Linked DNA regions of Lytechinus pictus. The protein of the gene in region 1 interacts with the protein of each later gene in a pairwise test. Links are inferred from orthologs where the notes say so. Each region holds a gene or a part of one and is shown on either strand. Other genes may lie near its edges.

Region 1 (7,390 bases):
ATATGTCCAAGTTTAACGAATAGGTGTTTTTTTTTATTTTTTTTTAAATAAGATGACATAGGGAGACAGTGAGTATTTGAAGATAGTGAATATTCATAAACAATGTAATTTGTAATACAATCACTTTAGTTTTACTTTATTAGTCTTTTTTTCAATAGTCTAATAAAGTCCCATCCGAATCCCTTAAACTCTATGTTGGTATCATCCATTGTAAGCACTTTGAAAGAGTACGATTCTGGAACAATCTTTGATATCGATAACGATCAATTCATTTTTACGTTGTATTTTTTGTTAAAGGCAATTTTTAGTTTCATCCCTGGGCGATGGGATCTGAAACTTTACTACCAAATAGTATTTAATTGTGTTTTAATATTGAAATCAAAGTCTTTAGGCATATTTCATGAAATTAGTCATATTATGCAGATTATTTGCAGATAGTGAATTGATGACATGCTCACAATGTTTCCGACGTCTTTGTTAAAAAAAAATAATTATTTATCATAACTGCTTGCATGAGCATTATTCTTTCAGATCGGAGATAAGAATGTTACTTATATAAGCATTATAGACCTATCTGGCTGTGAACCATGATTATCTATGAAGAAACAAAGAAGTTTTTTCTTTTTCTTATGTAATCCCCCCCCCCCTCTCCCTACTTTTCTTTCTTTCTTTTTATCTCTCTCCCCCTCTATCTCAGTATGTCTCTCCATCCCTCAATCTTTCTCTTTCTCTCTTGTCTTTCTCTTTCTCTGAACTCTCAACACATCATGGCGTCGCATCACCTGTTGCCACTCCGCTTCCTGCTGTTGCCATTGCCATGGTAACGATGACTTGCTCCATTCCTCGTTTCCAAGCCCTTGTATGTCGCAGTTTAAAAAAAAAGGAGCAGATCTATCGCTTCGTTCTAACCAAAAGCGACAGAAAATACCGGCCTGTTTTGAGATGATCGCTCAATGACCCACGAATACAATAGCCGCACCCCGTCCATTGTGTTCTTCCCGATAAAACCGGGTATTTAAAAATGTCTCCTCCACACCTGACTAGCCACCGATCAAAGAAATGAGCAGCGCTGTCTTTCAAAGATGCTGAAGGGATGTACAATAGTATTCTCCTCGGATATAGAGACGAGGAGGAGGGGTGGTGGAAAGGGCTAGTTATCTTCGGGGGCTATTATAATGGAGAAGTTAATTAAAGAACGCTGGTGTGTATAGAGCATGAGTTCTCTTAACACACAGCTGAAGACGACAGACTTTGATGTGCGTTGTGGTTGAAGACATGACATGAGAAAAGACATTAAATCAGCAAGATTAATGGAAGGGTTATCTAAACTTCTATGCCAATGACAAAACTATCCACCACCAGCATTAGAATCAGTTTCAGTAATAATCAAAATTGGACAAAACACCGTGATTATCATAGATGATGAGTCCGGTAGACAAATATCAGGAGCTGAGAAATTATAGTCTGTATCCCACTCCTGACACCAAAAATGTAGTCAACGATCAAGTTTAATTCAGCTGAAGAAATTACTGTGTGGTTTTCATTGCCTTCAGTTATTTTTAAAGGAATGTGAAAGGGACATGCCTATAATGCCATAATACCGGAAACACGTTGATATTGATCTAAAGGGGTCCGTGCACGTTCAGTATAACCAACAAAAATGAACAAAAAAAATCATGAAATTAATATAAATAAAGAAAAGTTGCTTAAATCATGGGGGGGGGGGGGGGTAAACATGAAAAGCAAACGAGGGGGAAAAAACTATAAGACCTAGTGGCAGATCCAGGAATCCGAAATACCCGTGTCCCATCCCTGTGGGGAAGTGTGCATATTTGAAAAACGACTCCGAAAATGAGCATAAAAATGGAGCCCTTTCTTTGGTTTTTAAAGGAGTATGACGGGAGTGAAACACACGCATGTATATATTTTATTTAGCTTGCCCAAAAAAGAAAATTATATACGGGAACATGCTCCTTATAAAGTTGATAACTTTCCCACGGTTATTTTTTTTTTTTTTGGGGGGGGGGCTTGTCGCAGAATTAAAAAAAAGACGGTTCCACGTATACCATTGATCAGTCCATCATCTGTCGCTGATGAGACCAGCATAATTATAACATAGCTCAAAACCTACGCATGAGTGCCCACACATTATTTTTTTAATATGTGACAAGCTACCCCAAAACCAACAAAAGGTCGCCAGAGAAGGTTCTCTGTATTAGCCAGAATAGTAATTTGGTCTTTATAAAAACAAAAATTGAAAGAAAAAAACACAGCTTATCTCAAAGAGTAATTCTTCTTCTGTATAATGCCAAAATGTCAAGTTGTATAGAGTTGAATATAAAACAAGGTACAAGAGTTTCTGTGGCACAAGTTTTTTGGGGAATGCTTGGAAATTTCACTCAGATTGCAGTGGGCCCTGAACTTCTAAGTTATTTTTGAAGCTCTCGCCTTGTTTCTTCTCCATACGATCAAGTATAATAGTGTGGGTTGTTGTTGACCAATTTTGACAAGTTAGTTATAAAGCTTATTGCTTATTTTCATCTCATAAAAAATAAAAACTAATTTTGGGCGACTTTGGTTTAATAAACACGATAAATACATTTCAATTTTTCTTCGTTATAAAACAATTTGGTTTGATTTTGTTGTCTATAAACATGTGGAATTGCGTTTTGTAACCCATATGACGTAATATGATATTTTATCAATATTTTCCTTATGTCATATCAATAAAATAAAAACAATTACAAAAGTAAATAAACGGTGTGTGATGTTCTTTCAATAATAATTGATGCATATCTGACCGTGTTGTCTTCTTTAATGTAACTGCTTTGAGAAAATAAGGTAAACTTGAAAATGGTATATCTACAGCCGCTTTTTAAGAAATTTTAGTCAACTTGTTGTGTTCAAGGTGGTGGTTGACTTGAACTTCAGCATAATATGACAACGATATGATTTGTTTTATAATTTCCTAGGTTCACTGTTTTATATAACATTCTATTTCAAAATTCATAATGCCCCTTGTACATCCATTTGTATTTACCGAATGACACTTAGAGGGTGCATACTTTTCTGTATCTTCTCCTCCCGCGGATTTTATATAATTTACAGCTTTTCCCGGTTTTCATAAATAAATAAATCGCACAATTCACTTGTCATTCTCACTCTGATTCCATTTTAAAAAATGAAGGAAAAAATGAAATGAAATTTTTCTTTATATAACTTTTTAAAAATCGCTGAAAGTATATACATTTGGAGGTTTTTCATAAAAAAAAATTTAGATGAATTTTTTAAATTATTAAATAAAATAAATCATCATTTTGGTACCGAGAAATTCAGTGACAAGCAACAACAAAAAGTTCACTATAAAATGAAGGTAATTTGGGGTTGCTAGGTCCTTTACTTTTTTTTTTACCTGGCAGCCCCAGCCCCCCCCCCCCCCCCTTCCGTTGGTCCGCCACTGGGAATCGTCGAACCGCATTTCAGGACAGGGACTCACTCGACCGTAAACTGCTATTGTTGTATTTTGGTATTTATATGTTTCACTATAGGTAATTAACAACAAAATATATTTAAAATTCGATACCATTATTAATCATAACGTCTCATCCTAGATCTATTTTAGCTCAATACTGCTGATTCTCCATAAAACAATATTGTCTACGCGATCAAATTCACATTTTCTCTTCATTTTGAATCAAGAAAATAAAGAAAGGATTTGATAATTTTGGCGGGATGTTGCAATCCATGATCCCCATCGATCGAAATTAACATTCTCATGCGGCAGTCACATAATCAAGACTAATACCAAACCAACCGATACCCGTACATTGAATAACGTAATAGGCTCGTAGCTCTGATCGTTCTGGAGTCGGTTTCGTTGTTGTGACTGTGCGGGATTATCTTCGAGATGACCTCAAACAGGCTAAAACAAAAGGTGAGAGAGTTTAGAAACCATCGGAGAGGGCATCGAGTAAACGACCAGATAATTGGTAGATGGGTCTGTTAGGATGCGATAGCAATCACCTCTCCTCCACATGTTATAACCCAAAACAAAGGAAGTTGAGAAAGAGGAGGATCACCGAGGTAAAAGAGCAACCGGAAGTCACGCACCTACCTCTATTGTTTATGGATATCACAAACTTCCTGCATCATTTCTATGCATCACAGAATGATTGTACGTACGAGTTCAGAATGCGAGATTTTATAGAAGGAAATTAATCTCTCCTGTATTGACTCAATATCATTCAAAGAGAGTTCTTCCATGGATCCTACTAGAAGTTCCATGCTGTACTATTCTGACCCCCCCCCCCCTTATGGCCATGCATGATGTAACACATTACGACATACTGTAACAAGTAAAGTCATCATTACAACAAACGTTTTCTGCATAAGATCGCATACATCCCATGGGATGTGTTAAAAAATTGTCTCTCTGAAATTTTGTCAAGACCAAGTCTGGGGATCGGGCTTTCCAGAAAGCTGCACCATAGCAGCACAGTGGAATTCTCTCCCGCCAATTTTACGAAATATTACCCAACTTGAGCAAAAAACCCACCTCCTTCGCTTCAGAGATAAAGTAAGTTATATGTTCAAAGTATGTTTGATATTCTTTGATGTTTATAATTACTGGCGGTTCCAGGAAGGGGGGCACAGCCGGCCCATGCCCCCCCCCCTTGAGAGACACAATTTAAAATTTGTAATGTAAAAATGCCGTTAAAACAGAAGTGTGGCCCCCTTTTGAAAGCGAAGACCTTTTTTTTTTGCTTGTCAATTTTTTCGTGGACGAAATCCCCTTATTTTTTTAGTTAAAACCCCCCTTTTAGGGGGGGGGGCTTGTCAAAATTTTCCTCCCTTTTCGAAAACTCCTGGATCCGATTGTTATATTCAGCTTTTCCTGAGAGACCCTTAGGTGCTATACGCGTCCATCCCAGAAGAACTGTTATTATCATAAGATGTGGAATTATTTTTGAGAAAAAAAAATCCTAAACGTGAAAACTTGTAAACGTTTGCCATAATTTCCATTGTAGAATAAAAGGTTTAATCATTCAATTTCTTGCAGTTAAATCGGTACAATCGATCGGTATGTATATAGCTGTAACCAAAGCTACGCCTACGACCGTTTACCAGTTTGATTATACCCCTGAGAATGAGCATGTTTTATAATAATCTCAACTATTTTACGATATTTGGATACTATACATTTTTTATTGGTCGATGAAACTATTAAACGACGTGAAATGTTTAGCTCTTACATCTCTTCCCTATGATAACATCCGTTGTATTGACCTCATCATGTTTTGTCATCTCCGTTTCTATACCACGTTCTTTATCCACTTTTACGTAAATATGCACGGTACTTATGCATGATCATTGCTCGAATTATGATGAACATTTTTTAACAACATGTAAACAGGCATGTAAACTCCCTCAGAAATAATATGTCCATTTATACAGCGCAGTTACTATGTGCATATACTCAACTGCGCTTTGATACATGGTATCATACCCCGGCTGTAGCTGAGCCGCCATATTAATAAAGCATTCAATGAAAAATCTTACCGGATACTCATTCACCTCACCTGGGTCGAGTGCAGCACAATGTGGATAAAGTTCTTGACAAAGGAAATTACGCCATGGCTGGTATTCGAACCCACGACCCTCTGTTTCGAAGTCCGGAGACTAATCCACTGCATGGGCCTAAATGCTCCACAATATAAATACACAATATTGATCATGCCTCAGAGGTATAGTGGCGCTACAAGGGGGCAAAGTAATTAATAAAACACTCATGTCTACTAATTATTCTGAGGAAAGGATTGACTGCCCTCGATCTTTCAAATAAAAAAAAAATCTGTGAAGTGGGGGGGGGGGGGGGTGAGAAAACATGGAAACGTGTGTCTTGGTCATTATTTTGAGAAAACAAATCAAACTTACATACAACTCCCGTGGCATGCTTACAGAATGATGAAAAATGAATTGTTTTAATCATAACTTGGACAAAAACTTAATTTTATTTTTGTTATCCTCCATGGGAAGTTTTTTTTTTTTTTTTTTCGTAGTGAAAATTCTGCAAATTATCAATGGCAAAGAAAACCAAAATACGGTACCACAAGAATAGCTTCAATATTTCTATTTATTCGACCTTATCCACCCTTGGCCTATTAAATCCTTATGTGGGCTAAAAATGGCTGGCCGAAATGGATCGTAATGCTCTAATAATCAACTGTTATAGACCGGTCTGGGACGGCCTCGTGTTGTTAATTAATACAATAATGGTGATGACCGTCTCCAAAATCATCATCACCACCACCACCACCACCACCTCCACCACCTCCACCACCTCCACCACCACCACCACCACCATCATCATCATCATCACCATAAAAATCATAATTGTATTACTACGATGGCAATTATACAGTAATGTTTGTCCTTGCACGCGGTCATTGAATTGAATTGTTTTTCATAATTGCTTGGCGGATGCAAATAACAAGACCGGTGGATTTTTAACCGAGTGGTTTGGGATCTCAAAAAGGAGGAAGGTTTTTTGATAGAGCTGAGAAGATACTGGTCCTTGAAAATGTGTCCTCCCTACACCACACCGTTATTAATATATTTGCCTACTTTTAGCCTATCACGGACGAGTCCCTGTGCAGAGCGAAGAGAGAGGGCGCCTGTATAGTATTTCATATACAGGGACACTAATTTCATTACGACCGTATCATCACGATTGCTGGACCTACACCCCGTTTTATTTATTTATTTTTTTAATTTTTACAATTTTGATCTGCTAAGTTTCGAACTTTATTTTACATCCGAATCAATAATTTCCCCCATTTATTTTGAATCATTTTTAATCGCTGGTACCACAATCTTTAGTTTGCAATTTACTTCTAACTCGGAACACACTACGGAACAAGTTCCGGGAACAAGTTCCGGGAACAAGTTCAATCACAGTTTCCTCTTCGCTTTTAATTCGCTTTTATGAATGAAATAAAATAGAGAAAACTCCGAATGAAAAAGAAAAACAAAGTTTCTTATGCTTATTGTTAAAATTCATATTCTGTATAGCTATTTTCCTAATACAATAGGCCTACTTTTCTACATTACATTTTTGGAAAACTTTCATTTATCTGAGCATGCAGACGATAACAATAATCTGCATTAATTTTATTGTTTCAGGCTGGAAAATTCCCAAATCTGCTGCCGAATCGTATGTATTTATAAAGTTTACAAACTGCATGTCTTATTAACTTTATTTTGTGGGACTTCTCCTTCATCATGTGTGTTAAAAACATATGAGTGGCCGTTTCAAGAAAATCAACATTTTGACGTACGTAGGCCTATACCAATTATAATTGTAATACAGTGACAGATACCAAGTGGAAGT
Region 2 (7,217 bases), about 18 Mb from region 1:
GTATCTGACAAATCAAATTTTACGAGCGCGCAGTGCGAGCAGAAAATGTTAATATTCAGACCATAAAACTTAAATTTTTTTACAGAGCACTTTTTTAAAATCAATTTGTAAATCAAACAAAATAATGAAAGTTCGATTTCCGAGCTGAAATATGTTTAATACATGTATATAGACTTCAAAATTTGATATTTGAAGCTCCATATTGAGCAAGATATGTAAATCACCTAAAAGGCAATGCGAGTGCGAAAATTTTATATAGTGACATGAAAGATCTTTTATTATTATTTTCTTCCCCTCGTTTTATTTCATTCACTCGTCTTCCCCCTTTTATGTTTACCCTTCTTTTTTCTCCTCTCTTTTCCCTTCTCTTTCTTTTTTTTTCTTTCTTTCCTCCTTTTTTCTATTTTTGCTCCGCCAATAGGGGGGGGGGGGCGGGCCCATCGCCCCCCCTGGATCCGCCTATGCATGAGTAGGCTGCACACTCAGACCCTTAACTCGAGTGAAGGATTTGCACAGCAGGCTCGGGTCCCGTCTTACAAAGAGTTGCGATTGATCAAATCACTCTCAAGCAGGGGCCGCGGAAACGGGGGGGGGGGGGCTGGGGGGCTTTAGCCCCCCCCCCAACTTTTTTCAAAAACTGTGTACAAAATCGAAAAAATGACCAAAAGATTTTGATTTTTTGCATGGTCAGCCCCCCCCCCCCACTTTTAGCTCATTCCGCGGCCCCTGTCAAGTATATGGAAATCCTCCAACGTCATAATTTTTTCTTCAGGATTTGCTCAATGTCTTTTGAAAACAAAGAGAAGCATACCGCATTGTCAAGAAAAAACAGTGAATGTATGAATTTACATCATTTCTAGAAAATATTTTGAACAAAACTTGTATTTTAGATGTTGATCGTTGCTGGCTTTCCATAGTTACGATTGATCGGATCAATCGCAAGTCTGTGTAGGACAGCAGACTAGGGTTTAGGTACGGCGCGTACCCGGAAACTGTTCGACCGCAAATTATTGGGTGATGATGACAAAGCTAGGCCGCATCCCCACGAGGCCTCGATCGATCGAGGCCTCGTGGGGATGGTGGAATGGACACACTCCACCTGTTTTATTTTTTATCTTGCTTTTCTCTCATATCATTTCAGATTCTTATGAATTTCAATCTGTATTATATAGAGACAAGTTATATGTTCTTTATAATCACTATAGGCCTACATCATTATTAAATAATGGTCCAGTGGTTAGAGCATTGGAATCATAATCGCAAGGTTGTGAGTTCTAATCCCCACTTTGCCATCGTCTCCACTTTGATAAAAAAGCCCGAGAGTAATATGTGTCGTCTATAAGATCAGCCATTATGACTGATTAACCTTGACGTAAAGTGATTATATACCTACCACCTTGGCGTATATCAGCAAAATGCTGTCCTGCCGAGTTCCTACGGGAGTAAAACAAAAAATAATAATTTCTTCCTCGATGAACGTTGTACACATGTATAAATCTGTGACAATACTTCAGTTATTGTATAATTTGCTTATGAAACTTATACATATTTGATTTGATATACATGTATATATATATATATATTGATATATATATACATATGCCCATAAATATAATTACAATCCGCTTTTATATAACGCTTTACATCGGAACGAAGAGCTTTACATTACCCCTGTCCGTCGCGCATGCCATAGACCTATAACTTTCTCCACTCCCTGTGGAGCATTCTAACAAAAGGTCTTGCTAGGCATACTACATGATATAGGCTTTCGCATCCTATACCGGGTACCCAACACATGCGTATTAAATTATATAGGCCTATTATGTTATTTTCATCAATTTTCCTTCTTTTGGGGGGGACAAAAATAGTGCCCTTTTTAAAAGAGGAATTATGTGCCCTCACATTTTCAACCTGTTTGTTTTTCATTTTTTGCCTTTGTTTAATAAAAGGAATTGAGTGCACACATAATGACCAAAATGATTGATGTTATCCCATTTATTTAAATATTCCAGGTATACTGACCTAATAGAGACATTTTAAAGACTGTGGCATTAAACAGATATGTATCCCACTGATGAAATAACGCTAGCGCGAAGCGCGAGCTGAAAATTTTTGATATTCAGACCTAAACAAGGGGCATCAAAAGCAAAATTTTGTAATCATGATACGTAGGAGCCTACCTATCTCACTAAACAAACAATGCGAACGCGAAGCACGAGCTGAGATTTTTGTATTTATTGACCTCACACAAAAACATTTTTAAGACTATTTTTTAAAGGATTTCATGAAGTTCGTCATCTAATGCGAGCGCCAAGCGCTTGCTGATTTTTTTTAAAAAGAATTACACCTATACACATGAATCACTTTTTCGAGCGCGAAGCGCCAGCCGAAAATTTGAATTTCAGACCAGAATAGGGGCATTCTAAGGCTTTTTTGTAAGAATTCATTAAGACCTTATGTATTTAACTAAGAAAATAATGCGAGCGCGAAGCGCGAGCTGAAATTTTTTATATTCAGACCTAAAAAGGGCACTTTAAAGACTGTTTTTAGGAATTCATGAAGAGCAAATTTATATCACCAATCTACTAATGCGAACGTAAGTACGGACTGGAAATGTTTTATATTCAGACCTTAAAAGGGGCAATCACTTAAAGTAGGCCTACTCGTGAAAAGAAGCATATTTCACTATATAGAATAATAAAAATTCGAAGTGCGAGGAAATGAAATGTGTATATTGACTTGAAAACGGAAAGTTTAGTACCATATAATTCCCTTTAACATGATTTTATTTTTCAATCTCATTAAACAGACAAAGCGAGCACCAGGAGTGATTGACACATAGGGTCTAAGCAAATTCTTTTCATAAAGTAATGAAAAAAAATTAATAAGTAATATAATATATCATAGTAAATATACAATAATTTATTATTTCCACAATAGGTTTCTCTTTCTTTCTCCCTCTTTTTCTCCTTTTCCCTCGTTTTTTTTGTGTGTGTGTGGGGGGGGGGGGCGAGGGCAGCCGATTGGGGGCACGTGCCCCAATCCCCCGTAGTTACGTCACTGCTGAGTGATAGCTCATTGCACTTTGTTTAAGCCCGTCACTCCAATAATATTTAAACGTTTCAAACAACTTTTAAACATCTGTTTTTATCTTTTAAACAATTGTTTAAAAAGCTTAAACAATTACAAAAAAATTAAACAATTTGTTGTTAGAGTGACAGGCTTAAACAATGTGTTATCTTATTACTGTGAAAATAGAAATACACCCATGACCAATGTCCCTTTCCATCTCAAGTAGATATTAAAAAATTGAGACGATAAAATGATTTTGTGTTGATGAGCATGTGGCACTCTATCAAACTACAATGGGATTAAATATGCATTATTCATAACAAAATGAAGATTTTTGCAATATTTTTAAATATTTCAGATATGTTTTAACTATGGGCTACTGTTCTCAATCTTGTAGTTCAGTTAGTTTGGGATCATTGCTACATGAATCAATTAGAATTAAATTAAGTAATCTGCTCCAAACCAAATTCAATTCCAGTGACCCCGTCCCCCCGCTTCCGCCGCCTATGCCTCTTTCTCCAAACGGGGGCTACCCGGCCCCGGGGCTATAGGGGGCTATATAGTATAGGCTTTGATGTACCATGCAGCCACTCTCTACATGTAATGTGTAGAGTAGTGTCCCTTCTTATCTTTTCCACGAGAAAAATGCAAACTTAGGTTTTGCGATTCAGCAAAAATGCCATTTTGCTCAAAGGGATGCCAAAAAGACGACATCCAATTCTGAATACAAGTCAAGTACGAAAAGGGGTGAGGTAACTTTTAACAGGCTAGAGCTCCTGTGAAGATATAGACTTTAATATGCCAGAATAACATTTTCAACAAATATGTCTCCTCAATAATCATTTGCATATCAATAAAAATAAAAGCTGCTTTACTAAAATATGCATTAGATCCATTACATCTACTACATTTTGCATCATATAAGTGCATGCCCCTTCTCATACTTGCTTGCTAGTCTGTAAAGACCAAACACAACCCGTGACTATAGTGCCCACAATGCAATTTACGAATAAAGTAATTGTTCGCTGGTTCCGGGTTGTACTTTGAAAACGTGTACACACGAGTTCGTAAACTCTTGATCGGGTGTGTTATATACGTACGGTACGTATTATGCAGCGCAGCGAAATGTATATCAGTCAATTCTGTGTAGTGTTAGATCTATGGCCGACGTGTACTAACTTTGATCACCGGTGACGGGATAGGCGTTTTATCTTGCGAAGTTCTGCTTGGTCGTAATATTTTTCTTTATCTTCATCACCATAATCTTCTTGCCCTATCGCTCCAACAGTTAGACGAATATCACAGCAATGTCGAAGCCAGATCAACTCCTAACGATCAAACCACCCACGGAACTCCGTTTCCGAGGTAAGAAAATAATACTTTTTTTCATCCCTGTTCATTATCCATCAATCATACCGGTACCGTACTCATAGTCATACATTGGGTGATTTTAAGATTAGGTGATTTCAAGTTCGGTGTCCGATGTTGTTGGTGTTGTCTGTCATGTCTGTTGAGAGCATAAAAAGGCTGCTGAACCGAGCTCCAACACCGAGCTGGGTTCAGAGCACTCACACGTATTGCGAGGTTTTTAACCTCGCACTACCATGACTACGATTACGAACATGACGAACGTGTTTACGCAATGGATTTTAGAGTTGTCGGTTAACATCGCTTCATAACGGGAATAATGTTGTTAGTTAGCCGAAACTCATTCCGCTACTCACCAGGGCTTTTTCTGGTGAAAAACATTCCATTTTCATTTATTTTTACAAACATTTTTCTATATAAAACCACATGAAAAAGAGCAAAATTGCTTACCTCGGCCCGGCCTGAAAAGTTGCTTCGCATGTCTCTTCCACGGAAATAAAAAGAAGGTCGTCGTTGGCGCTAAGTAATAGTACAATTCACAACCTTAATTCAGCTTGTCTGTATTTTTCAAACGAGATTCTTGATTCATTGTATGCGCAATTCCCATGATTGTTTGATAAATCATAAAGACAACAATAAATGCAATAACTTAAAAAACATACTTTTTGTATTAATTTTGCTGACGATAATACATTTTGGAAAACATTCAAAGCGATGACAAATTAAGCAAAAATAGAAAATTCTACGTACCTTGAACTAAGCCTGCAGTGCTACCGTTCATTTGTCAATAAACGTTCCACCAAAGTCTAATTACAGTAAAAAGACTGGACACTTTGCCGACGTCCGACTTCGCGTAACGCTTTGCATCGAGTTACGTGTAAAATAGTTTTTGTGCCTAGTCTTTCCCTTGTAGTGTCTTTGATATGAAGATAAATCAGTCCCAACACCAGCCGGATTTCAAGTACGGTGTTGTAGCTGGTGTTGGTGTTAAGTCACAACACCATACTTGAAATCACCCACTGTAGGTCTATGACTGGACACTGACAATCTGACATTACTATTTTCAACATGTTCTCAAAATGGGAACCAGCGTGTCGTGTAGATATCTCTTCCGGGGGGGGGGGGGGGGGGGGCAGACAAATATATTGCTGTACACATGCATGACCAAAAAACGCATTTAAACTATTAAAGGTTTTTTTTGCAGTTTTGGACTGAATTAAACTGAATTCATTTTAACAACACAGTAGACAGAATAGACAGACTTGGTCCTGATTCAAAGCCACAAATTTTAAACTCAAATGCTAAGGAAACCAAATAGGGGAGAAACTTGTGAGCAAGCATCGACTCTGACCACATCGTCGCCTGAGAAGCATAGTGACGTTAACTCAAAAATTTCGTCCCCAGGTCGATTTTTTGTTTTACATATCATCTTTTAGAGTTTTTCTTACTCTTTCGTTTGGTCTAATCGAGAAATCACGAATTCAAATATTTATCAAGATATCTATCAAAAACATATTGACGTTAACTCTTTTTCGCACAATTCCTGAGAAGCATACTGACGTTAACTCGTATTATGTTTGTGCGCATCATGTCCTGCGCATATTTTACACTACGCGCACTGACGTCACAAACAGTGCTACGCTATGCACACTGACGTCACAATGGATGAACATGCGATTACTAGTAATCAGCTATAGGTATCAGCTGATTTTTCACATGTTTTGCAATCTAACTGCAGATCCGTTCTAGCTAATTAACTGAAAATAATCCACAAAACAATGCTTTTAAATGCAATTTCTGAATACTTTACTCTAATCTTAAGTGCTGTATAGCATGACAAATATGACATCGTATTCGAATAAATGGTGGAGTGGTTTGGAATATTTCCCACATTGATACAAATGCCAAATTCATTTGAATGCGCAGTAATTTTTTTGAGAAGTTTCAACTCGGTAGAAATAAAAGCTCAATAGCAAAATATCAAGCTCATAAACCCATATCAATTTTTGCATAATATATTAAATATTCCGCTGCTGAAGAAAAGTCTGCAAAATTTGGTGTAAATGACATAAATTTCATTCTAATTGTGGAATGCCCTTAATAGTTCCCGCACGCCCCCAATTGAAATGCACACATAGTTACTTACAAAAAACAACAACTATAAATTGGTATATTTTGTCGATTTTTCTATGATCATAATTGATCAGTCAAGAATTACCCAGTAAGAATTTGTGGTAGTTAATGCATACGACAATAATTTGAACAGATTTCAGCCAAGAATATGTCTAGATCTACGTTAGGATCTAGGTTGGTCTAACTTATAGTCTATATTCATTCTAAAGTCAAAGAGACGATATAATAAAGTTATATAGTATGTCTAGTCAATTAGATCATTGTTTAAATATTGAATTCATTGCCAAATACAGTTAGGCCTAAATTTCAAGGCCCAACTTAGGCTACTAATAAGCTCTCTGCACCCAACCTGTCTGGTGAGTTCATGTAACAGCCAACACACAATACAAATAAAAAAGATCTTTCAATTATCACTTTTATATAAAAAAAAAGTACTCAGTTCCATTCATTTATGCTTTGTTTTCATAATAAACATGGGGATCTTTTTTAAGTAAAAGTCCAAGTTATCTGTGGAAAGAAAATTTTATTAGAGTACTATAGCCCCAGGTTTTCACTCCTGACCTTGACTTGTAAGGCAACATTCACAAGAATAAATCATGATCATATACATAAACTTGATATTAAAACAACAACAAATGTATATT

What was found. The genes of interacting proteins can lie anywhere in the genome.
Region 2: the proteins of phosphatidylinositol-3-phosphatase SAC1-B-like (region 1) and vesicle-associated membrane protein-associated protein A-like interact in a two-hybrid assay, tested with the Drosophila melanogaster proteins (2 studies listed by BioGRID). The link is inferred for Lytechinus pictus from reciprocal best matches to the Drosophila melanogaster genes Sac1 and Vap33.

What each region holds. Positions count from the first base shown.
Region 1 is NC_087246.1:55,294,963-55,302,352, forward strand, and holds the start of phosphatidylinositol-3-phosphatase SAC1-B-like, read left to right. Parts: upstream 1-4,385; 5' UTR 4,386-4,576; intron 4,577-7,390. UniProt on the Drosophila melanogaster protein: Phosphoinositide phosphatase which catalyzes the hydrolysis of phosphatidylinositol 3-phosphate (PtdIns(3)P) and phosphatidylinositol 4-phosphate (PtdIns(4)P). Has low activity towards phosphatidylinositol-3,5-bisphosphate (PtdIns(3,5)P2).
Region 2 is NC_087246.1:37,607,333-37,614,549, reverse strand, and holds the start of vesicle-associated membrane protein-associated protein A-like, read left to right. Parts: upstream 1-4,210; 5' UTR 4,211-4,379; coding exon 4,380-4,437; intron 4,438-7,217.